Linked DNA regions of Kluyveromyces lactis. The protein of the gene in region 2 interacts with the protein of the main gene of each other region in a pairwise test. Links are inferred from orthologs where the notes say so. Each region holds a gene or a part of one and is shown on either strand. Other genes may lie near its edges.

Region 1 (7,153 bases), on a different chromosome or scaffold from region 2:
GACGTGGCATATTCCCGAGAGATTTCACGGAAATCTTTAGGAAAAAAGGAACGTCTCTGCAAAAGATCGATTGCTTTCTGCGTCATTATTGTTGTTTGACAGTTAAATACTTCGGAATTTGGATCCAACTACGGGAAACGAGAATTCATGCATTATGAAAAGTAATCTTGAAATATGTCATGATGGGCTTCAGCTAGGGCTCTTTTTAATTAATCCCTGGTATATTTATTTTTCACCGCTGTTATTGGTGACTATTTTAGGGGTCGTTAGCTATATTTTTTCTTGAACTAATCAACTTATGGTAGGTTTATCAGAGTTGTCAGGTAAATTATTTCTTTTATACAACAAAACTGTTATTGTTTGGAAGTTTATCCTCGTTATGCATTAAGAGAATTGGAATATTCTCCATTTATTACCATTTTTTCTTAGTAATTTGGACACAATTGATCCGTTTTTACTAGTTCGTATATCTGTTTTGAAGAGATGCTCATCAATTGACGAATTTCTAACCCTAGCCATATCTTTAACATCGATAGCGAACTCATATCCTGTAGCATGCTGGAATCACCGCCGGCTAAATCATGAGCTCTGCTCATTCCGAACTTACGTAAAAATGGTAGTGAGCTGAATAAATACACGAGCACCGGGAAAAAACGCATCGCTCATAGTCTACATAGCAATGAAAATATGAACAATATTTTTCCGGTATATGGGTAAAATTTTGGTGTTAGTAAATTGAGACCAAGAGCTTCAAGTGGATGAAAATCCATTCATTAAGACAAATAATACGAACCTTGCAAAGAGATCCATTTCAGGATCAAGCTGTCTACCTATTCCTTCTAACAATAGAATAGCAACAATGACAGATACGAAATCACCTTCCATTCTTACGTGATGCTGTCTTACCATTCCTAGCATTTTATCCAAAAGTTCTCCTATTGACACAGTGCCCAAAGTGAATGTTTGCTTCTTAACTTTATTGACTAATTTTTCCACTTTCAATGCAAATAAATCTTTGTCTATCGCAGTTTCTGGTGTACGTGAACGTTCGATCATTAGCTCACCTGCTCGATAACCGTCAAATTTGGCCAACGCATTAAATAGTGCAATAAAATTCACTCTATTGCGATCGTTCAACTCGGTAACAAGTCCTGCATCAATTAAGCATACCTGAGGCTCATATTCCTCAAATACTCTCTTCATCTCCGGAATGAATTCAGGGTCGTTGTCTCTTGACATTGCTCTTAACTTGTGCACAATTTGAAACATTTCTTTTTCAGAAGATACTACCTTTGTTTCTTGTTTATTCAATTTCATGAAACGAATCATGACATTCCCCGGATGCAAATCTGCATGAATGAAATCATCCAGAATCAACATTTTCAAAAAAGCCTCGATAAATGGATCGCTGACTTTTCTACAAAGGTCGACTCTCTTTAAACCATCTTTACTCGATAAAAATTTCTCCATTGGGAATCCGTGAATATACTCTTCAAAAAGTACATAACGAGAAGATAAATCCATAGCGCCGACTGGGAACTTTACTCTTGGATTGTCAGCAAAATTATCATTGAACTTCTGCAAGTTCTGACATTCTATACGTAGGTCAAGTTGCAACTTCATCAATATGGAAAACTGCTCCACTTCATTTGGTAAGGACAACCATTCCATGGTGGGTACAGAGTCGATCATATCGGCGAAGAAAGTCATTATTTTTAAATCACGGTCTATCTTTTTCGGTACGTTTGGATGAACCACTTTCACTGCAAAATACCTACTATCCGTTTTAATATCAAAGTTCTTCATCATTAATTCAGTTAACTTTCCTATGTAGACCTGGGCGATGGCACCACATCCAACAGGTTTTTCGTTAAATTCATCAAATATATCATCGAACTCATATTTCCTATCTAAGGAATTAACAATGGCTTCTTTTGTAAATTTCAACGCATGAGGTTTAGCATTGCTGTGTAGGCGCCCCAACTCTGCGCATAAACCCTCGGAGAAAATATCAGTACGGGATCCTGCCCATTGACCTAATTTTATGAATGTAGGACCAGCGAATTCTAAAGCCTTTCTTAGAAGTTTAAACCACAAAAGGGAACCTGATGTCTCCTTCACAACTCTATTCGAATCAACCTTTAGCGTTTTATGATGTCCAAGGCATGTAATTGGATATATTATTAACAACGGAATGAATATGGATGAAAGTTCTAGAAATCGAAGCAATGTTAAAACCGGTTCTATAATAACATCATTGATGCGATACAAAATCCTCTTAAAAAAACTGGGCATAACACTAGTAGTTATAATTCTTTCACGCTCTTTTTCGGCTTCTTCCTGTAATTGCTTCTGTGAAGAAATGTATAAGCCCATCTCGAAAGTATCCCCTTTTTTATCGGGTATTAGCGCCGTTGAATTGTTCAATAACGGTCCTCTAAACCATTGCATCGAAAGTGGGACTATAGGCGACAGAAGAAACGGTGTAATTCTTAAACCTTTGAGGAAAAACACCCTGGAGTTCACTCTAGAGCGGAACGCATTAAAGTAAAACCTCATTGGACTAAGTTTTACACCCACCTATGAACTGGACAGTCTCAAAATTAAAGATAATCTGAAAATGACAAATCGGAGTTTATACTGAAAAGACCAATTGACAAAACCTCAAACCTAAGTGTACCAATTCATATACTTATAACATGAATGATAAACAGGCCTGAGTTATTTGCCTCCCTTGACCTTTTTATAAGTTGTCATCGTTTTAATAACACACACTTTTTTTTCAATTCACGATCTTTATAACGGTTACTTTTTTTTTTGCTATATGCCTGTAGTTATTACTATAGCAAATAATAATCAAAAAGAGGTACCGCTTTTGGTATTTGTTTCCAGTATATGATATTCGTCGAGGGGGTAATGTACACCTGTAATATATAACAAAGAGATTTACCTTTTTACGTTGAGCGAAGTAATACATCATATACTGAATGATATGGTGGTAGTTGGCAAGACCATGTTCCATTTAAAGGATTCGTGGTTGCATGGTATAATGACTGCTTAATTATGCGAATTATGAATATGCTATATATATAATGAAACTAGGGCACGATGGAATGGTTTGAATAGGAGAAAACATTATATCACGCATACGCAAACGTAAACGAAATAGTGGAGGATTTTGGAGATGAAATAAAAATGCATGGGAAAATTGAATGTCTATTGAAATAAGCGTGTAAAGGAATTCAATAGGACATTACGCCAGCATCGGCAGGAAGTAAACAATTCGAATTTTAACTTTGTTATTAGCTTTGTCATTTATTTTTATTACTATCTTAGGTCATGTCAAATTAAAAAAGCATTTCAGTTGTAGATAAATATAATGGGACCGGAAGCACTAAAAAACATGCAGTTTTCAATTCCTTCTACAATTACATTTGTTCTTCCTTAATCACGTCAATTAACCAATCCAAACCTTCAGTTATCCCTTCGCCCTTAATGGCACTGGATGCAACAATACTCCAGCTTCTATCCTTCAATTCTGCCAAGTTCAACTCCTTTGATACTTCTGACGCACTTAATGCGCCTGGTTGATCTTGTTTATTGGCAAATACGAGCAGAGCGGAGTCCTGCAATTCTTCTTCTTGCAACATGAGGTGCAATTCCTTCGAAGCTATATTCATACGGTCCTTATCTGTAGAGTCAACAACGAAGATAACTGCTGCTGTGTTTGCGTAATAACAACGCCAGTATGGTCTAATCGAAGTTTGTCCACCTAGATCCCACACGTTAAGTTTCAAGTTTTTATAATTTAACGTCTCTACATTGAAACCAATGGTAGGTTTTGTAGTTATCACTTCTCCTATCTGTAGTCTGTACAATATCGTCGTCTTACCAGCACCATCAAGCCCTAATATCAATATACGTAATTCTTTTTCCGCACCCAATAGTCTATCAAACATAGAACTAAAGAAGTTACCCATTGTGATATTTTATAAGTAATTGCTGTACTGCGGTCAATTCAAAGGTAGTTGGTAATTAAAGAAAAGGTGTATTAATAAGTCAATTAATAATTTAAAACCAAAACTTTTGTACTAGTTGATATGTAAAATTAGGAAGTACTTGTTCAAAATATTTCTTATTTGAGAACCAGTTACAGCCAAAATTCGAAACAAATAAACGAATAAACAGCGATCCAGACAGCGGTAAGTTTGTCTCCTGATGTGTAAACAATTTTATTGTATTCGTACTATAAGATCAGATAATGTCTTTGTAATGAGTGAAATATTAAATACAATGAAATCATAACTCCTAACCAATGCAGTGTGTTATTAATCACTCGATCCTGAGATTTTCCTTTCACTAAAATTGTAGTTGGCCTTTTAGTGGCCGGGTAACAACAAACAAAGAGACCCCATTAGACATAGTAAAAATTACTTGCGTATATAGTCTGTATCGTTCACATTGTCCTCGCTGTATTTTTTTGTTCAATCTCAATTTTTTATATATGCGAGTTTGTAACTGCAGAGAGCTCACATGAGGCATACCGGTACTGATTAATGCTCTGAATTTTCTTTCTTCTTCTATCTGTATAAACATATTCTACAATATATGAAGAATTTGTAGATCAAAAATGATAATCAGAGAAAAATAATAATAGAATATATTAATCTGATTTGTAAAAATACAAAACAGTAAGACTGCATACCTTTGCATGCAAAGCTAAGGGTAACGTGATTATTATTGGATATCTTAACTACTATATTGCCAACTAAGTGTGGTAATATATCATTATTGGAAAGGCTTTTCCATTGCCTATAATTGTTATTCTTCACTACTTTTTTTTCTTTCAAATAGCAGGCCACATCCACATAAGATGCATCCGTTGTACAGGAAACTCCTTAGGGAATGGAAACGTTTGAGCCATTATAAGCACTCTACATGCCATATCAAGCCACAAGAATCAAATTTGCAGTTCTGGAATATAGTACTACATGACGAAAGCCGAGATTTGGAACTTTACTGTGTTGTTTTCATAAGCCACAAGCCTATGAACGAATGGGAGCCTATCATACTATTAAACTGTTTGACACCTAATCCCTGCATACCTGTGAATAAGACTATCTGCTTGAATCATCTCTCTCCTGTTCTTCTGAACTATGGGTTGTGCTCCTTTTATGAGCATTTGTTATCATCAATTTATAGTCGCTGTACTAATATCACCGATTATCATAAAAAATTGGCCATGGCTTGGAACAGAATTATGGTAAAGGAGTTCAAGAATTTCTCCCCGCGACTATTCGAGTCTTACTCGGTGACTCAAACAGACGTTCAGATGGTAAACGAATATTTGCAAACGCAGGCTCAGTCACAACCTAATCATACAAAAAGAAACTCCCCGAAATTGCATAGTAAAAGCCCAACCCCGGTAGATACCCATAACCACATAACAAACGAAGACTGTTCGGAACAGTTATACAGGGGAAAGAGGCAAAGAACCGGGTTGAGCTCTTTTATGAGTGTGAGTCCACTCACAGAACCGAATCTCAACAACTTGGAAACCTCTGAAGATTGTGACTTTTTAGAAAGTAGAAAACGCAGGCGATAAAATAAAACTTTCTCTGAAACTATTAAGTTAGTCACCTTTCCATCCAATGAAGCTATTTTCATCATCCTTCTAATTTAATGCATGGCGTCTATATAGTTTATGGCACATTATGTGAGGATTTATCTTCCGATCGTATCGAAGTTTTAGCAATAAATTTCTCTCACAGTACTTATGTATATCATTGTATATCATATATATACATATATAACATAATCTATCAAGCGTAAACATATCATAAATTTTTACTTTTTGAATGCTCAAGAATAGTCTTAATCATTTCGTTGCCAATAGCATTTGCTTCTGGAAACATTGGAGTGAAAAATTGTTGTACCTCTTCAAATTGTCTCTTATAGAGTTCGAAGTTACCAAAAGAGACGATATTAGACCACGACCTTGCAGCTATGACGAATTCCATATCATCCGCTCTGAACTCTGGTACGTTAATCGCAGCATCGATAGTCTGTTCTAGTAAACCATCTGTTAGGAATAAGTATTCGCTAACCCCCAAGAAAATTCTGAATAAAGGAGTACTGCAGATCATATGATCGTAGGGATCAATTCCCAATTGGTACCAACTATCGACAATTGCTAATAGAGATAAATGAGAGTTTGGTATCACTTCGTTATCTTCACCTTTTTCATGTTTTGATAATGAGTAATCATCAAGAGCTAGATCGTGTAATAGTAACAAGCCATTGTGGTTACCAAATACAAAATCTTTGGCGACTTGAAGTCTTTTAGTAAGTTCATCTTTCTTCCCTTCCACGAAAAGGGTAAAAAGCTCGGTAGCACTTTTAGCGTATTGTGTGATTTGTTTATGAGCAGCAGGGTTTGTTAAGGCTAACCCCGCATATACATGCCATTTATTAGAATAGATTCTTAAGGAGATATTCACTTTGACATTCTCTAGACTTCCATGCCACTTATTGACTCCAAGCGTCCATGGGTAGATTCGTATCTTATACCAAGCAACCCCCATACTTAAGAATGCTGCGTGCGTTACTGCTTGGGTATCTGCAGTAATTTTATCATGTTCCTCGTAAGATAAATAAACATGTTGGCTCTTCAAACAAGACATCAAAGATTCTACCAAGTCAAATGATTCCTGAGATTTAGTTCTATGGTTTATTAGGACTAACGGCTGTCCTTCTGTATTGACCTTGGGACCATGCAATGAGTGTACAGATACAATCTCACAGTCCGAAGGTAAATATTTCTCGAAAGCGTTGATTTCCGCATTCTTGCAACTGGTTTGTCCTCCGACAATCGAGCCTACCTTTGACGCTGCGCCATACATCTTCACAATATTTTCGATATTCTCGGCCTCGACTGAATAAATGATATAATCACTAGCTCTTGACACTAGTGTACCATTCTCAACAACATTGAAGCTTTCTGAGGAATACTTTTCTTTCAATTCTTCGTAAAATTCTGGTCTATCGCAGCAAATAACCCGCCAACCAGCTTTGGAAAACCTAGTAGCATATAGAAGTCCCATATCACCTAATCCAATGATACCGATGGTTTTTTCATGTTTCCACTTAGCAA
Region 2 (8,452 bases):
GTGTCAAATTTTAACCCAGAGAAGTGAAAGCTTTATGATTTGTGTAGAGGTAGCAGTCATAAGCAGAGAGGAAAATCTTATACTCTCACGTGATCAGAAACAGTAGCCACTTCATCGGAGTCCGAACTGATAACAGTTGGTCTTTGATCTTTTATGTCAGCTTTCAAAGCCAAAGCATAGCTGTATGCGTTAACGGATGGTTGTGTCTTGTATTGTAAACCCAAAGTATGTAGTTGTTTTGGGAAAGTTGTAGATTTGATGGTTTTCTTTGGAATGTAGCACTTAGAAGAAGTGTTTAACAATTTAATAGAGTTGGTGAACATTTTTTCTTGATAGTTTTGTGTGTAAGTGATGCTTTTTGATGAAATCTGTTGCTATTCAATAGACTTTTGATTGATGAGGTGGGAGTGAATATAATATACAATATAAAAGAACAACAGATGACATCCATAAGTTACAAGACACTCAACTATGAACCAGCTCCTTATATATATTTTTCCTTGAACCAAAGATCCCACATGTTCTTTCCAGGTTTCAAGGGCCATTGGCCGTAACCTGATTTTGTAAATAGATAAGGGACATTGGCCGTAGAGTGGGTAATAAGAGTAATAATAATAATAATAATAATAATAGTACTAATATTTTTTTATCTTTCGTCCAGACCAATAATTAGTAAGGCATTTCGACGTATCGAAGCAAACACCTTGAAATCAGGAGATCCAAAGCAAAAGAAGATACTTTAGTCCATTGTTGGATTATGCACTTTACTATGAGTAGTTACGTTACGTGATTATCTCTGATCCACTTTTTTTTTTTTCTCTTTCTGTCCTTTTTGGCTTTTCATAGTGTCGTTTAAACGGTTTCTTCCCCATTCATCCGCGCTTCCTGAAACTTTTTAGTGTAGGGTCTGGGTGTTTCACTACTTCGTCCGTCCAATATCCGGGTAACAAGAATCCCTGCCATGTTTTCTTGACACAATTTGTCCTATAAAGGAAAAAGGAGACCGGCCGATTAACATAGCTGCTACAGGCTGGTCTGAGAGGAAGCCAGGTTCCACCCCCCATTTTCCGGACTTGAAACTCTTTACAGCCGCTGGAAGTTCGATAAGTAGCCCCACGTTATTTCCCCTATCTGTTGGCCTTATTCTCGTTTACTGTACTATGTCAACATATAGAACAATGTTCACTGGGACAACAGTAGAACTCACCGTTGTTTCTGTGGAAACTGGTTCCACTCCCCCCGGTTCTAGAACCGTTTTCAATTTTTCAGCCACACCATGCGGTATATATGATTCTAATTGATTTCATTGGTCAATGAGAGTATGTTACAGGACCAAAGTACGTTGAATAGTGTTCTGAGTCAGAGTGTCGTTTTTCTTAAGTTGTTTTGAGGATGAATGGACTTTCAAATAGGGATCAATGGGGAGGCTGTAGAAACTGAAATCTCAAAACAGAAAAAATAAAGCTTGAATTCTGTGTTTCCGGGTAACAGCGAATGCTTTTGGTGGTTCTGTCGTGTATCCGGGTAATATACTGTCGCGCGTCAGTTCAGTTTCCAAATGTATTGAAACTGTCACAAAAGATAATATGACAGCAGCGAAATATTACTAGCCGATACATCGATCTACAGTGTTTAAATCACCAGCATAAATGGTATTTACGTCCACTAACGACCTTTTTTTTACTCCAATATTACATGTTTAAATAGCAGCAGTACAACCCTGCATAACAATTTACTTAACTTTATCACCAAGTAAGTGTATATCAAGATGGTCTCGACACTCATTTTACTACAATGTTCCGTTGTCTCAATAGCGACTGCATATGCAGCCGTTATTGATACTTCGAATAAGGATCCACTATCTGTAGCTAAAGACAACGGTTTGGCTATAGAACAAGAGTTTAGGTTCCCGATTGGGAGATCACCAAGATCTCAGGCGAAAACTCCATTCCCTGAGTGGTTAACTGCCTTCACAGGTTTAACTGAATGGCCAGGTTCCAATCCACCTTACATTCCGTTGGATTTCATTGATTTCGACAAGATTGAGAAATGGGAACCGTACAAAGAGGGTAGATGTAACGTGAACCCGAGGGAATCGTGCTCTTTTGATTGTCACAAATGTGTTGAACCCGATGATGTTCATTCTTGTGAGAAACTATCTCAAACTTTCGATGATGGGCCATCTCATCATACTTTAACACTATTAGATCATTTGAAGCACAAGACTACTTTTTTCACCCTTGGTATGAACGTTGTGGATCATCCGGAAATATACCGTAAGATCATGGAAAAGGACCATTTGATTGGTACACATACTTGGTCACATCCTTTCTTACCAAGTTTAACCAATGAAGAAATTATTGCTCAATTAGAATGGTCTATATGGGCCATGAACGCGACCGGAAACCATTTGCCGAAATGGTTTAGACCTCCTTATGGGGGGATCGACAACAGGGTTCGTTCCATTGCAAGACAGTTTGGATTACAATCGGTGCTTTGGGATCATGATACTTTGGATTGGTTGACCGTCTCTAATCCTTTCCTAAGATCCGAATCTGATATTTTGAATGATGTCAAATTATGGGAACGCACCTCTTCCGGTTTGATCCTTGAACATGATGGTAACAGGAAAACCGTTGACATTGCAATGAAGATAGATAACATCATTGGGGATGACCAGATGACCGCTGCGGAGTGTTTCAACGGAATCAATTACATTAAGGAGTTCGACATTTGAACCAGGAAAAAGAGAAAGCAGAAATAAGATTGTGTTATGATTGTTACAACTTTATATGTAAACTATAGTATATATTTAGATATAAACTATCATTTCAATGATAGCAATAACCTTTTTTCATCATTACTATCCAATTGCAATAACGTCGTAACAACGGGTAATAACTGATCACGCTGATCTCTGTGTTCTAAGAATCCAAGTAACACGTTTTTTATGTATGCAATCTTTTCATTAATCTCTGATTGTGTTGAACTTATTGGTGATGAAATAGTGTCCTGTACAATAGAACCTGACCTTGATGGATGTGGGCTACTTCTTGCAGATTTGGGTTCTAAGTCCTTAGTTTTACTGATTTGTAACGATAAGTTTTTATAGTTCTTACTCAATCTATCAAATTTTTTGTTCAAATCATTATTTAGTTCTTTGAGTTCAACGTTAGTGTTCATAATCTCCCTTTGTTTCTTTTCACTCTTTACAAGAGCTTCCTTTAATGATTTAACGATTGAATCAAGTTCAGACGTGTCTTCTTGGCTAACATTGTTTGACCTCTTCATTCTTTCAAAAGTGGATTTCAACTCCTCAATCTCGGCTGAATATTGCTCAATCTTTATTAGTTGATCGTGGTTAACAGATTGCAGTTGCGTGTTTTTCTGTTTGAGTTGTTTGAGATCTTGGGATTTTCTAGTTAGTTCCATTTGCAACTCATTCTCTATCTTTGATTTCTCTTCAACGGCGAAATGAAGTCTGCTTTCTAATTCCTTCACTCTATTACTTTTATCGGTTTGAAGTTCATTTAGCATCTTTCTCATGGTAGTAGTCTCTCTGTTTCTCTCTTGTAGAATGTTAGCGTTTTCATTCAACTCGTCTTCTAGAGATAGTATTTTTTTATTAGCATCCTTTAATTTGAATGAAAGCTCTTCACATTGCTTCCTGATAGTTTCCACTTGGTCATTAGAATTTGACTTCAAATTTTGTAGTGTTTCGAGTTTTTCCTGCAGTACTTCCAGTCTCTCACTTAATTTTCCATTTTCTTTGATATAACTTTCTAAGTTACCGTTGTTCTTCTGAGATTCATTCTTCCATTTCGCGGTTTCTTTGTTTAGATTCTCAATTCGTTTCACAAAAGCTGAATTCTCCTTCTTTTGCAGTTCAATTTCGTTCTTATATTCAGATTCTTTGGAGCTATATTCTTTAACCTGGTTTTCAAGGTAATCGATAATTTTCTCTTTTTGTGCTACTGTTTGGCGCAATGAGGATTCATTTTTCTTCAACGATGCAATTTCGTTGTTTAATTCGTTCTGCTTCAACTCATAGGACTTCAAATTATCCGCATTGTTAGACCTCAACGATTCGAGTTGTAGTTTCAAATTATTAACTTCAGCTGAAGCATCGTTCTTGGACTTTAGCTGATCTTGAGCAGCCACTAGATCGTTTCCAACGTCTTTCAACATATCTCTGACACTTTCTAGTTCTTCATCCTTGATCTTAATAGTTTCTTTCAATTTTGCAAGGTCTGCCTTCGTGGACGTTAGTAATTCATATTCCTTATTCAACTTATCGTAATCTGCTTGCAATGTATCTAATTTTACACGGAGAGTAATTGCTTCTGTTATATCTTTAGCCTTTTGATTTGGCTCAGTAGCCGGAGCAGCTGCGGCAGTCTCGGCAGCACCGGCATTAGCATTATTGTTTTGGAGATTATTGTTATTATTAGCCTTCCCCTTTTTTTTCTTCTGGTTCTTTTTTTTTCCTGATGCTGTTGGCTGCGCAGTACTGGATGCTGTATTTTCTGTCGTCTCTTGGGCTGATGTTGCACTGCTACTATCTACTGAAGAAGGTGTCGAAGTTAATTCTTCAATTTTGTTTTTGAAAGAATCTATCAGTTGATCTTTCGTAGAAATTTCCTGCTTTAAGCTAACTACTTCTTTCTCCAAATTCTCCACTGACGTAGTTGATTTATCCAATTCACCCTTTACTTGCTCTAGCTCATGAGTATCTACCTTCTCTAACTCTTGAGATAGCTGTGTATTTTCCAAAGTCAACCTTTTCACTTCGTTATTCAACATATCAGTCTTCTGGTTTACCGTACTGAAGTAACTTTTTAAAGAATCCACGTCAGAAATATCTGAAACTGGCGTGCACTCACTTAAAACCTTTTGAAATTGCTCCACCTTCTCTGTCTTCAATTTCTCGTTCTTATAAGCCTGTAATAACAATGGATATTTTTGCTCATACTTATCGAACTTTCTCAACTTCACTTGAACATCACTGGGAAGATCCGCATACGGTCCTGTTTTATCCAATTGATCTGGATTAATCCCATTGAGTTCCTCGTTCAGACCTTTAGCCAGCTCATCGGTAAGGTTCTTACCGATCTGAGTCAACTGTTTAAACATCCTTTATTTTACTTTACCCTTGTGTGGAGAAACGAAACAAAAAAAAGAAAAATAGCGTTCCCAACAACAATAAAAGACCAAATAAAACAGTCGCAATTCTATCTCACAATATATCACGAGGTTGTTCACAGTTCAGTGACCTGCATATACCATAAAACCGCGTTTTAAACTGTCCTGTTTACGTGTCTAAAAGAATATTTTAACCTATTTCTAATTTCTTACATGTTGTAAAGCTGGAAATTTCGAAATTTCGAAATTTCAAACCAGAAAATTTTCGGGCCCCCAAAAACAATATTTTGGAGGGGTGCTCAATTCCGAATATCTCGAGAGCACTTTTCCTGTATAGAGTATAAATTTACTGAGTTAATTAGATGTGATGGGAATCTTTTAACAGATCATCGAGTTCAAGACTGGCAGGCACTCTCTAGAGGGTGATTTTCATCGATAAGCTAGTCTTAGGTGTCTGTTGTGTGAGATGGCACACTTGAAAAATCATCCCAGACCTGTCTTGGGTGGGATTTTAGCTTGTATCTTGGTACTGGTTTTCTATGAACACTGGACTTTCAGCAGATCGGGCGATGCTGCCAATGGCATAAGTGATGCTTATTATAATTCAAGGTACGGTTCTGGTCCTATAAATTTTGAAGGGAAGAACCAGAATGAGGCTTTTGATTCCACTGAGGTGCAGAAAGCATTAGAAATGGTCCAACTGGCTGATCTGAATGGTGTTGTTAATAATAGCTACAGAAGCAAAAATTCAGGAACTTACCGGTTTGGGTGGGGTAAAAAGTCCTACGCACGAGCATTTGGATCCTTGGAAAACTTTAAAGTGAAATTCGACTCTTTAGCTGGGTCTCACTCTTATACCAAGGCAAACATGGTTGATTTTTGGCAACGAATAAACAGTACTTCGAGGGAGTCTGGTGAACTTTCGCAAAACACTGAAAAAAACATTAATGCATGCATACTGATCCATGTAAGGAACTTGAATCAGCTCTCGACTTTAAAAAGAACCATGGAATCTGTGGAATCTCACTATAACAAGGAGTATCATTATCCATGGGTCATTGTGTCACATATCGAATTGTTCGAGAAGAAAATAATAATGCAGTTGCGCAATATTGCTTCTGGATTGATCGAATTTGTTCACATTAAGGAACCCCTCACAGATCAAGAGTTGTTGACTCGTAATTCTGATGCGGAGGCAGTCACGTCTTTGTTAGATGAATTTACTGCAAAGAGGGAACACAGATTCGAATATTACAGTAAGCTGCAACAACTCCATATAGGAAAATATTTCTCCGATTTGTTAGACAAGTGGGAATTACACACGAAGAAGTATTCAAAACTGTATGATCCATACTCAATCAGTTTCTCTCGCCTTTTATCAAGCGATATTTTCAATTTAGACGCAGTGACTCAGTATGACTATTTTGTAAAATTAGAACCCGGCACTGTGTTCGATGGTGATGTGAGGTACGATATCTTTGAAAGGTTTACAAGTGATTCGAATACTAACGTTGGTATTGTCTTCATGGATAAAAATCTTGACTCAAAGATATCCCAATCTTTCAATGAAACACTGCGTTCTTTGCAAGAAAAGAAAAACATCAAACTATCGCATTATCTCATTGATGATTACAACAATTATAACGGAGTAATTATTGATACGGAAACGTTTCTCGTTGGTAAAACTGCATTTTTCAATACAAAACAGTATCTTTCTTTCGTTCGCTTTATGGATGAAATGAGGTTGAAATTTAATGAACCTTGGTCTGCAAGTGAAATAATGACAGCATATTTCGCTATAGTGTATAGTGAAGCCACTTTCAAATCAGCTTGGGATTCTGAAAAGGAGCTGACAGTTCGCAAAGATCTCATGGTGTTCGATGATTTAGCCGTCAGCGACGTTGGCATGTTTGACTCAAAACTTAAGAATACTTTACTTGGCGAGATAAAACCCGAAAAGTATCTATCAACTAAGCAAAGTTGTCCAATTTCTACATCTGATATCAATGAACTGTTACTACGCAATGTCTTAAATTGTAACTGTGATATAGATAACAGGTTCTTCCATAGTGATGTTGACTCATTTACGTTATTAAGCAATATGACTCCGGAATCTGAATCATCAAGAGTAATCGTCAATGAAACTCTTTTCTCCGAGTTCCATGAACTTATGTTCGCTCAGACGATAAAAGCTCTTTCCAATAATGGAGCGGACAAAGAGCTTTTTGTTCAATTTGAAGAGTATTTCGAGGCGTTCCCTGAAAGACAAGCAAAGGGTTTTGCAGATATCAGAGTTTCGAGGTTAGAAAAGGAAGAACTTCTTAAGGCAGGGCAAGATAAGAGGACAGGAGATTTACTTGCAGAAAGGGTAAAGAAGTTCAAGAAGTTCATCGATGACAAACGGAAAAACACTGATAAAGAATTGAAGGAATTGGACGAAAAAATGAAAACGCTCGAGAATGAGCTTAAAAATGAAGCAGAAAAACGCAGAAAGGCAGAAAAAGAACAAAAGAAGAAGGAAGAAGAGAATCAACGGAGGATTCAGGAAGAACAACAACGTACAAACCAAGGCTCCAATAGTACTATAGAGGTCCTTTGAGCGACATTTGAGTTATTTTGTCAAAAGTTGAAACGCTTTATATTTGCATCTCCCGTTTTGTTTCGTATTTGAAGTTTGGAAATTTTTAATTTGGTATTTAATTTATTATAATAAGTCATTCTATTCATAGATATAATCTTATTTTACTACTAAACGATATCGGTATCGTTTCAAAAAAAAAGTAGTAAGTGTTTAATGGAAAAAACCCTAATCCATATATATATAATCATTATATAAAATGTAAATTGTAAAAAACCCAATCCAAAAGATGATCAATCCTAAACCATTTTGGATTTTAGTGCCTTTAACCTATTAGCAATACTTGAAATGTATTTCTTTATCATTTCCTTATCTGATTCGTCTAAGGAGGTGATATTTGATGCATACTCGTCATCATAGACTTCGTTGAATTGAAAATTTTCGTCCAGCAAAATTTCTAACATCCATAATGAAGTAGCATAGGCTAGTTCACAAGTATTGTAATTCCCACTTTCCATTTCCATTCTTGCAGCATTTCTAGATATATCTAAAGCACGATCGTATATTAACTTTTCAACAAAAATTACAGGGTCATCATCTGACCATTGGGAATTTGGTGATGTATTAATAGCATGGAGCTTTAAACGCAAAAATTCAGCCTTGTCTAAGCATTCGTTAAAGCGATCTCTAATCCACTGCACCAAAATGTTTAGCTTCAAAGTGCAGTTTTTA
Region 3 (8,059 bases), on a different chromosome or scaffold from region 2:
TCATAAGACGGGCCTTAACAGCTTGTGCATCTGGTCGTCTGAAAGGTATATCCAAGACGGAATGATCAAATGGCCTCATTTTGGGCAAGTTACGCTCATTGCAGATCAAAATCATAGGGGTGTTGGTTTTCCTGCAATACTGCGCAAGCTGTCCCACACCACCTCTATCACCTCCACTCATACCATCAACTTCATCCATGATAATTACAAAACGTTTCCCATTTTTAGAGTAATGGTCATCTGATATGCTTTTGAACATCCCAATGACTGATTTATGATCCAACGCAAATTTGACACTGGCATTCAACAGACCCTTGGAACGAACGTCAGATGCATTTTTCTCTAAAACATCATATCCCAAAGATTTCGCCACTAAATGAGCGGCTGTCGTCTTGCCAATACCTGGTGGACCTGATAACATCACTGCTCTCATACTAGGCTTTTTCCCAGAACTCCAGCTCTCTAACCAAGTTTTCAATTTTTGGATGGCTCCTTTATTACCACAAAGTTGTCTTAAATCAGTAGGCGCATATTTCGTGGTCCATAACTTACTGTCTTCAGTAACAGTACTTTTACTTGAAAGATTGACATCTTTTCCCACCGATAGTTTATCCTTCTTTTCACGTTCCTCTTGTTCCTTCGCCATTTGTTCAGCTTCTTTCATCGCTTGTTCTTGTTGTTCTTGTAACTTCCTTCTAGCTTTGTCTGCTTGTTGGTTATCACCACCACCTGCAGGCATACCTGCAATTAGTCTCTTGAACCCTTCTTCATCAATGGCCTTTATACCCAACTTCTTGATGTTCTCGAGCTTTTTAGGTCCTGCTTCTTCCCCTAACACAACAACGGATGTGTTCTTGGAAATAGATTTGGTGACACGAGCACCATATCTCTTTGCTAGATTTTCTGAGGTAGATCTGTCAAGATTAGGCAAAGTACCTGTGAATACAATGGTTAGCCCGAGCAAACAGTTTGCTTGACCCTCTGGGATCTCCAATTCACTGGATGCACCAGAACCATCACCTCCTGCACCTTTCCATGAAAACTGCGTGGCTTCTTTCGTCGTAACATTATCAAGATCAACAGAAGGTATAGAGTCTAAAAGCTCTTTTACAGTTTGCGGAGAATCGCTTTTTTTAACCCTACTAACGTCTGGTTTAGTCAATCCGTTCGATGAAGGTTCACTTATCCTTGGTTTCTTTGCAGGTGACTGCTCTTTCTCATCGGCTGCGGTAGTATTGCTCCGGCTTCTTCTCGGTTGTGACGCCAGCAATTCTAGTTCGTCGTCATCCAAATCCAAGTCAATCGTTTCAGCAGCCTGGCTCTTGACCTTCTTGGGCTTCTTGGGTGAAGCATGATTTGTTCCGTGCCCTGCCCTCTTATTTTTTGCAGCTCTCAATTTATCCGTTATGTCTCCCATCTCGGACACCACTTCAATTGTACTATTACACTAGAATCAGATAACACTGAAAACCCTCTAACACATCTATATCCGACACTCACGCTTTGTCAGTTTCTGTTTTATCAGCGATGTTCTCGTTATTACTGGTATTTTTCCTGGTTTTCTATGATTTTAACATTTAAATTGTTGGTTTAAAGATTGAAGAAAAACGAACGATGTTGACGTATATAGACTATCGAAAGAAATGAATTGGCTTTCTACAACTTGTTCATCTGCACAACGTATAAATCTAGAGTACCGAAGTGACCTTGGCATATAACCCATAGATCAAGGATAGTTGTTCCTGTCAAAATTAGGGGCTCCCAAACAGCAATTGGCATCTGACCGCATTAAGAAAAAAAATGGCCAAGAACAAGAAGAAGGGCAACAACAGTAACAATAAATCAAAGTCTGCTGGTTCAGCAAAAGATGTCAAGGCTACAGAGCCAGTCCAAGAAGTGGTTCCTGAAAATGATGGCGCTAAAGCTGTCGCGGTACCGGATGATTCTCTAGAAAACTCTGATGGTGCTGACCAGTCAACTGTGGAAGCGGTTGTTACTGTGAAAACAGATGACAAGCCATCGAAACCTGAACCAGAGGAACAGCAATCACACGAAGCCACAACAAACTCTAATGCAGAGGCAGAACCGCACAGTGATTCTGAGGAGAACGATCTACAGCGTGTTAAAGAGGAAAGAGATCAGTACGAATTGAAGTATAACACTCTTTTGAGTAAAATCTCATCTATGAAGACCGTGTTCAGTCAAATGAAGCAAGCTCAACAGGAACTGGAAAACACTCGTGAGCAGTTGAATGAGTATGAGAATCAGAATATAAATTTAAAACAGAAGCTAAAATCTGCTGATTCAGAAATCCAAGAGGACAAGCAAACCATTTCTATTTTGAATGATGAAATCGTCAATCTCAATAAAGAATGTGAAAATTTGAGTAATGAATGTTCAGAATTCAAGTCCAAAATCAAAGAATTGGAATCTAAGTTGAACGAGGCATCTAACGAGGAGTCTAACATTACTTCTTGTCTTAAATCTGAAGTCAAAAGCTTAAAATCTCAGATCGATAATTTAGAAATTATCATCAACAATGAGGCACAAGATAAAAGAGATTTAGAAGAGCAGATAGCTGACTACAAACAGCAATTAGAACAAAGTGATGAAACTAAGAAACAGCTTGATAATATAATGTCAAATTTAGAAAAGCAAATAAATGATAACAACACTACTATTGAGACTCTAACCAAACAACGGACAACAGAAGTCAACCAATTCACCGAGGAAATAGCACAATTAACGAAAAATAATGAAGAAAAAGCTACCGAAATCAATAGTTTGAGGGCAAAAGTAGCGTCCATGAGTGAAGATGTAGCATTAAAGGAGAAATTTGAACGAGAGGTGAAAGAAAGAGTTCTACAGATAGGAAAACTACGCCACGAGGCTATCATATTAAATGAACATCTAACAAAAGCATTAGCGATGCTAAAGCAAAACAATGATTCTGAAAGTGTCGACAAAGAGTTGATATCTAACCTTTTCATCTCATTTGTTACTATCCCAAGAGGTGATCCAAAGAAATTTGAAGTCTTGGAATTAATTTCAAGTTTCCTTAACTGGGACACCGATAAAAAGACTCAAGCTGGTCTCATTCAGAATATGAGCAATACAAACTCCGAATCGCGAACCCAGAATTTCGTTTCTCTCTGGACTGAATTCCTAGAAAAGGAAAGCGAGAAGTGATTGCGCTTTGGCTGTCATCCTGCAGAAACTTTCTAAAAGTGATTTGTACTATAAACGTTCTAACACATAAATATATAGACTAAGTTAGTTCAATTATTCACTAATCCAGTCAAATATCATAAGCCGTCTGGAACAAACTTAAAGAAAAGCGCGACTTGCACTGAATATTTTTTTTTACTTAACCGATCAACGGTAATAAAATTGCATCTTGATGATAATTTCTATGAAAATTCAAGTAACCCAAAAGACACCGGCACCTATGAACAAATACAAAGAAACGTTACATTTAATAGACCTTCTATAATCTTGATCGTTTGGTTCAATCTTCAAGACAAGCATCCAAATCATTAGCGAATACAAAGATGTTAAGATGTGTTATCCCAAGCGTTCGCGCTACTGCAACGACCAGAACCTTTGTTAGATTTGCCAGTTCTCAAGGCTACATTGATGGGATCGCTGCATTAAAACAAGACTTGAAGAAGGCAATGCTTGCAAAAGACAACCTAAGAAAGACAACCATTAGAGGTGTACTATCTACAATTAAGAACAAGGAAATTGACAGTAAGGATAAGGATCTAGATGAATTTGTATTGTATGATGTGTACGCCAAGTTAATCTCGCAAAGGAAGGACTCCATCGCTGAATTTGTTAAAAATAAGAGAGAAGATTTGGTAGAGAAAGAAGCCAATGAGATAAAGATCCTCGAGAATTATCAGACTGCCTTGCCTGTTGCTTCTAGGGAGGAAGTAGACGCTCGTGTTGTGCAGATTTTAACAGATCTAAAAGAATCAGAGCCATCTATACAATTGAAGCAGGTCTTCGGAAAAATTGACTGGAAAACACTACCAGGCGAATTGAAGGCATCTCCAGCTGCTATCAGGTCCAGTATTAGCTCTCAATTTAAGAAAGTGTTCCAATAAATCACCTAGCTAAAACCAAACTTGTACAGAGTCATTCATTAAAAAAAAAACTCCGATGAATGACGCCCTTGTGATTAAGTAGGCACATCAATCCCGTAAATAAATGTACTTACAATTATGCAATATCAAGCCGCAGCAATGGATTTGACTCACGTGAACAATTCTCTATCTAAAGACTTCTGATAAAGCCATGTTGTTCGCTAGGATGCTTTGCCAGATCACGTGATAAAACATAGTAACCAATACTCTCTGGTAACTACTAAGTGGGGAGAATATGGACATGATAGTCTTTTGCTCTCTCCACAATAGCATAATCGTAACTCTTGCATGCATCTTCAACTGCCTTCCTCCACCTTATTGTAGTACTTCCTCTAAATTTCACCAAACATTGAAAACATGAATTGACTAAATTTCAAATTCAGAGATAAATAATGGCAATTACAAGTACGAAAATATCCAGAAGAGAAACATTAGACGTGCTTATAACCCCCAATCAAATCAACCAACGATGGTGTCGGTATGTAATGATTAAAAAAGACTGAAAAGCTTCTTCAGTTCGTTTTTAGAAGGTTTCTTTTCACAATGAGTTTACTAACAGACCTTTTATTCAATATTTCGGAAACAGACTGTGAAGAGAACGGTCAGAATTAAGACCAAGCAATCTGTCCTACCGGATGTACCACCTCCAGTAGAAAACTTTCCTATGCGTCAATGGACCATTGAATTAGTTCTTTTGGATGAACAAGGAAACGAAATTCCAGCCACGATATTTGATAAGGTAGTGTATCATTTGCATCCAACTTTTGCAAACCCTCATAGAACATTCACGGAACCTCCTTTTAGAATTGAAGAACAAGGCTGGGGTGGCTTTGAATTGTTGATAAGTGCGCATCTTCTTGAGAAAGGGGGCGAGAAGAAGATAACTCACGACCTACATTTCATGAAAGATGCCTATGAAATTGATCATGTAATCCAAGTTCCTACCAATAAGCCTCTTCTAAGAGCAGAACTAGAGAAAAGTGGACCTGTCGATGAAGTAGCATCAACAGCAGCAGCAACTCCAAATGCAACAGCGACAGCTGCCACCACTCCAGGTGACAAGAGAAAAGCATCTACTGTCAATGGTGATGTAAAAACGAAAAAAGCCAAGACCGCCTCCGCTTCAACAGTGAAAGGCTCTGTGAACTTGGAAAAGTTAGCATTTGGCTTAACAAAACTAAACGAGGATACATTGGTTGGAGTAGTACAAATGATAACTGATAACAAAACTCCAGAAATGAATATTACGAACAATATCGAAGAAGGTGAGTTCGTTATTGATTTATATAGCTTGCCTGAAAGTCTATTGAAGAGTTTATGGGAATACGTCAAGAAAAACACCGAGTAACCGGACCTCTCACATGTTTATCTAATTTAACCATTACAATTATGTAGTTGTATTTTATAACTTACATCTCCACTAACAGGCACTGCTTGCAGAAAAAGTACCAAATGAACACTATAATGAATAGACAAATCAAGCCTAGGGAAAATTGCACTGAAATATTTGATTGAATTCGCCCTTGGACTTGACTTTAATTATTGTCGACCTCCTACCGATGAGCTTATCTCTGAAAAAAATAATAGTTTGAATCAAATTCTACATGATAGCATATCACAATACTCCATTATGTTTTACTATTGTTGTAGCACAACGGTCCGCAAGCCGTCGATAGAAAACTGTATTGGCATCAAGTCAACACTTAACATAATGGAAAAAGATTTTGTAATGGTATGTTTTAATCTAATATTGCCATAACGTTTGTCACTAGCAGCATTGTCACTAACAAGTGGTTGTTTACAAACATATCAGCCTTACGTTCCTCGAACAATAAGAGTCAAAACTCAACAAATTATTTTACCAGATGCTCCTAAAGTCTACGAACTGCCGACAAGGAAATGGAGAATGCAATTATTTATATTAGATGAAGAAGGAAACGAGCAACCGGCCACCTTATTTGATTATGTTACCTATCACCTTCATCCCACATTTGAACGACCACTACGAAAACTCACGGAACCTCCCTTCACCCTAGATGAGCAAGGTTGGGGTGAGTTTGAGCTAAAGATAATAGCAAAGGTCAAATTTTGCTCGACAACTTACACTTTTCATCACGAACTATCCTTCGATAATAATGCGTACAATGTTGATTATGAGGGAAGGTTTCCCTACCATCAAACCAAACTGCGGGAAGAGTTATTAAATTCTGGCAGTGTACCAATTTACAATGAAGATGAAATAAGTTTGGGTCAAGTTACAAACTTACAAAGGGCTATTAATCTTATATCGGTATCTGATGTTGATACTATTCAAAAGGTAATTAATACAATTGTTACATTTCCTCCGGTATCTGAAGAAATTGCTAAGAGACGTCATCAAGAGGATGACATTGTAATATTATTGTCTCAAATTCCGAACCAGCTGCTCAATAAAATTTGCAGGTTGGTGGAGGCTTCCTCAGCTGCATCTTAAAGTTTCACTTACTGCGATGAACAAGAGCCAAACTGAGCGGTTTCAGTAGTATTATAAGGGCTATTTTGCGGCTTTTTTCGATATGCATTACCATTCTCAGTTCATCATTTCACTGATGAACCGGTGTCCAAACTTTTAGGGTCATATCCCATGAGCTAGACACTACTGCCATTCCATCAGGGCTCGTCTTGACGGCATTTATTCTGTTTCGATGACCATCAACTTTGCCAATCATTTCTCCTTTGATAATATCCCATACTGCACACCCGTAATCCGCATAACAAGCGTACATCAATCTACCAGAAGAGCTGAAATCTATTGATATGACTCCTTGATCTTCGATACAACTTTCCTTGAAATTCAAAGATTGAGGTGTTTTTACAATTGGATAAGACGAAGTTGAAGAAGAGGATGAGCCATACCGATTTTTTTGAATACGAGAATAAGCATGAGAATGAGGATGAGGATGATGTTGTTGTTGAAGCTGGTGCTGCTGAAGTAAACCGTCTGAAAATGAGTACGTCGATATCTGACAATCACTTCTTAAGTCAAATAACCTAGCGCTACCATCATCTGAACCCGCCATGAAGGATTCTCCATTGTTGAAAAATTTGATGGCACTAACATCACTATCACTGATGAAAAAACTTTGGGCTGAATTCGGCTGTCTAACATCCCATAGATACGCATACCCGTCCGATCCTCCGGTGATGAAATTATGACCATATCGACCAGTGTTTGCTGGTGGTAAATCCATGGTCAAGACATCGCCTAAGTGATCTATAAATTCCGTAACTCTTTTACTTTTAGGAATATCCCACATAGCGCATGTCATATCACCACTTGCAGTCAAAATAGTCCTCTCATCAAGAAACTCCGTAGCTGAAATGTAGCAGGTATGGCCCTTGAAGATGGAAATCACATTCTGTTGTATTCTATTATCTCTTGAAACACGATACACTGAACAATGATTGTCCAAACCCGCACTTGCAACCAGATTTCCGCTGGGACTGATAGCGCTACTCAAGACCCATTGGGATAACAAGGGGATAGCGCTTTTTTTAAGCCCAGTGAAGGGATCCCATATGATTATAAACCCGTCTTGGCTCGAGCTGAGTACGCTTGCCGAATCCTGGCTCCATTTTACGTCTGAGATTTTATTATTATGTCCTTTCAAAGTTCGAACCGGTTGTAAGTTTAACTCGTGTAATGAATTGACGCCGTGAGACAAGTTCATCAATTGAGTGTCTTGAATTTTGCCTTTAATTCTGTTGATTTGGTCGTATAACTGCTTGCACTCCGTCTTTGCTGTCCTTATTTTGTCCTCCACTGTACCAGCTGAATTCATATTGGGATAATGGTAATCGTGCACAATCAGTTCCTGTGGACGAATTGCATATTCTGCTGAATCGACTTCCATCTTGGATGCTGTTTGCAA

Evidence for each region.
Region 1: the proteins of IMH1 (region 2) and ARL1 interact in binary tests that used the Saccharomyces cerevisiae proteins (3 or more experiments, as listed by UniProt). The link is inferred for Kluyveromyces lactis from reciprocal best matches to the Saccharomyces cerevisiae genes IMH1 and ARL1.
Region 3: the proteins of IMH1 (region 2) and RUD3 interact in a two-hybrid assay, tested with the Saccharomyces cerevisiae proteins (2 studies listed by BioGRID, with this or other methods). The link is inferred for Kluyveromyces lactis from reciprocal best matches to the Saccharomyces cerevisiae genes IMH1 and RUD3.

Annotation. Positions count from the first base shown.
Region 1 is NC_006041.1:2,191,381-2,198,533, reverse strand, and holds ARL1 (Arf family GTPase ARL1), read right to left. Parts: upstream 3,981-7,153; coding exon 3,429-3,980; downstream 1-3,428. Other genes in the region: KLLA0_E24817g (uncharacterized protein), read right to left, coding at 426-659; KLLA0_E24795g (ABC1 kinase family protein), read right to left, coding at 751-2,559; UBS1 (Ubs1p), read left to right, coding at 4,874-5,605; TYR1 (prephenate dehydrogenase (NADP(+))), read right to left, coding at 5,838-7,153. UniProt on the Saccharomyces cerevisiae protein: Recruits golgins such as IMH1 to the Golgi. Can bind and hydrolyze GTP. May be involved in trafficking events within the endosomal system.
Region 2 is NC_006039.1:1,501,022-1,509,473, reverse strand, and holds IMH1 (Imh1p), read right to left. Parts: upstream 5,134-8,452; coding exon 2,827-5,133; downstream 1-2,826. Other genes in the region: DPA10 (Dpa10p), read right to left, coding at 78-323; KLLA0_C17226g (uncharacterized protein), read left to right, coding at 1,769-2,737; KLLA0_C17182g (uncharacterized protein), read left to right, coding at 5,609-7,741; serine/threonine protein kinase ATG1, read right to left, coding at 8,020-8,452. UniProt on the Saccharomyces cerevisiae protein: Involved in vesicular transport between an endosomal compartment and the Golgi apparatus.
Region 3 is NC_006040.1:586,271-594,329, reverse strand, and holds RUD3 (Rud3p), read left to right. Parts: upstream 1-1,800; coding exon 1,801-3,189; downstream 3,190-8,059. Other genes in the region: RFC1 (replication factor C subunit 1), read right to left, coding at 1-1,417; AIM41 (Aim41p), read left to right, coding at 3,552-4,109; KLLA0_D06831g (uncharacterized protein), read left to right, coding at 4,618-4,626, 4,735-5,496; KLLA0_D06809g (uncharacterized protein), read left to right, coding at 6,055-6,621; STE4 (G protein subunit beta), read right to left, coding at 6,731-8,041. UniProt on the Saccharomyces cerevisiae protein: Involved in the structural organization of the cis-Golgi and in vesicle targeting/fusion stages of ER to Golgi transport.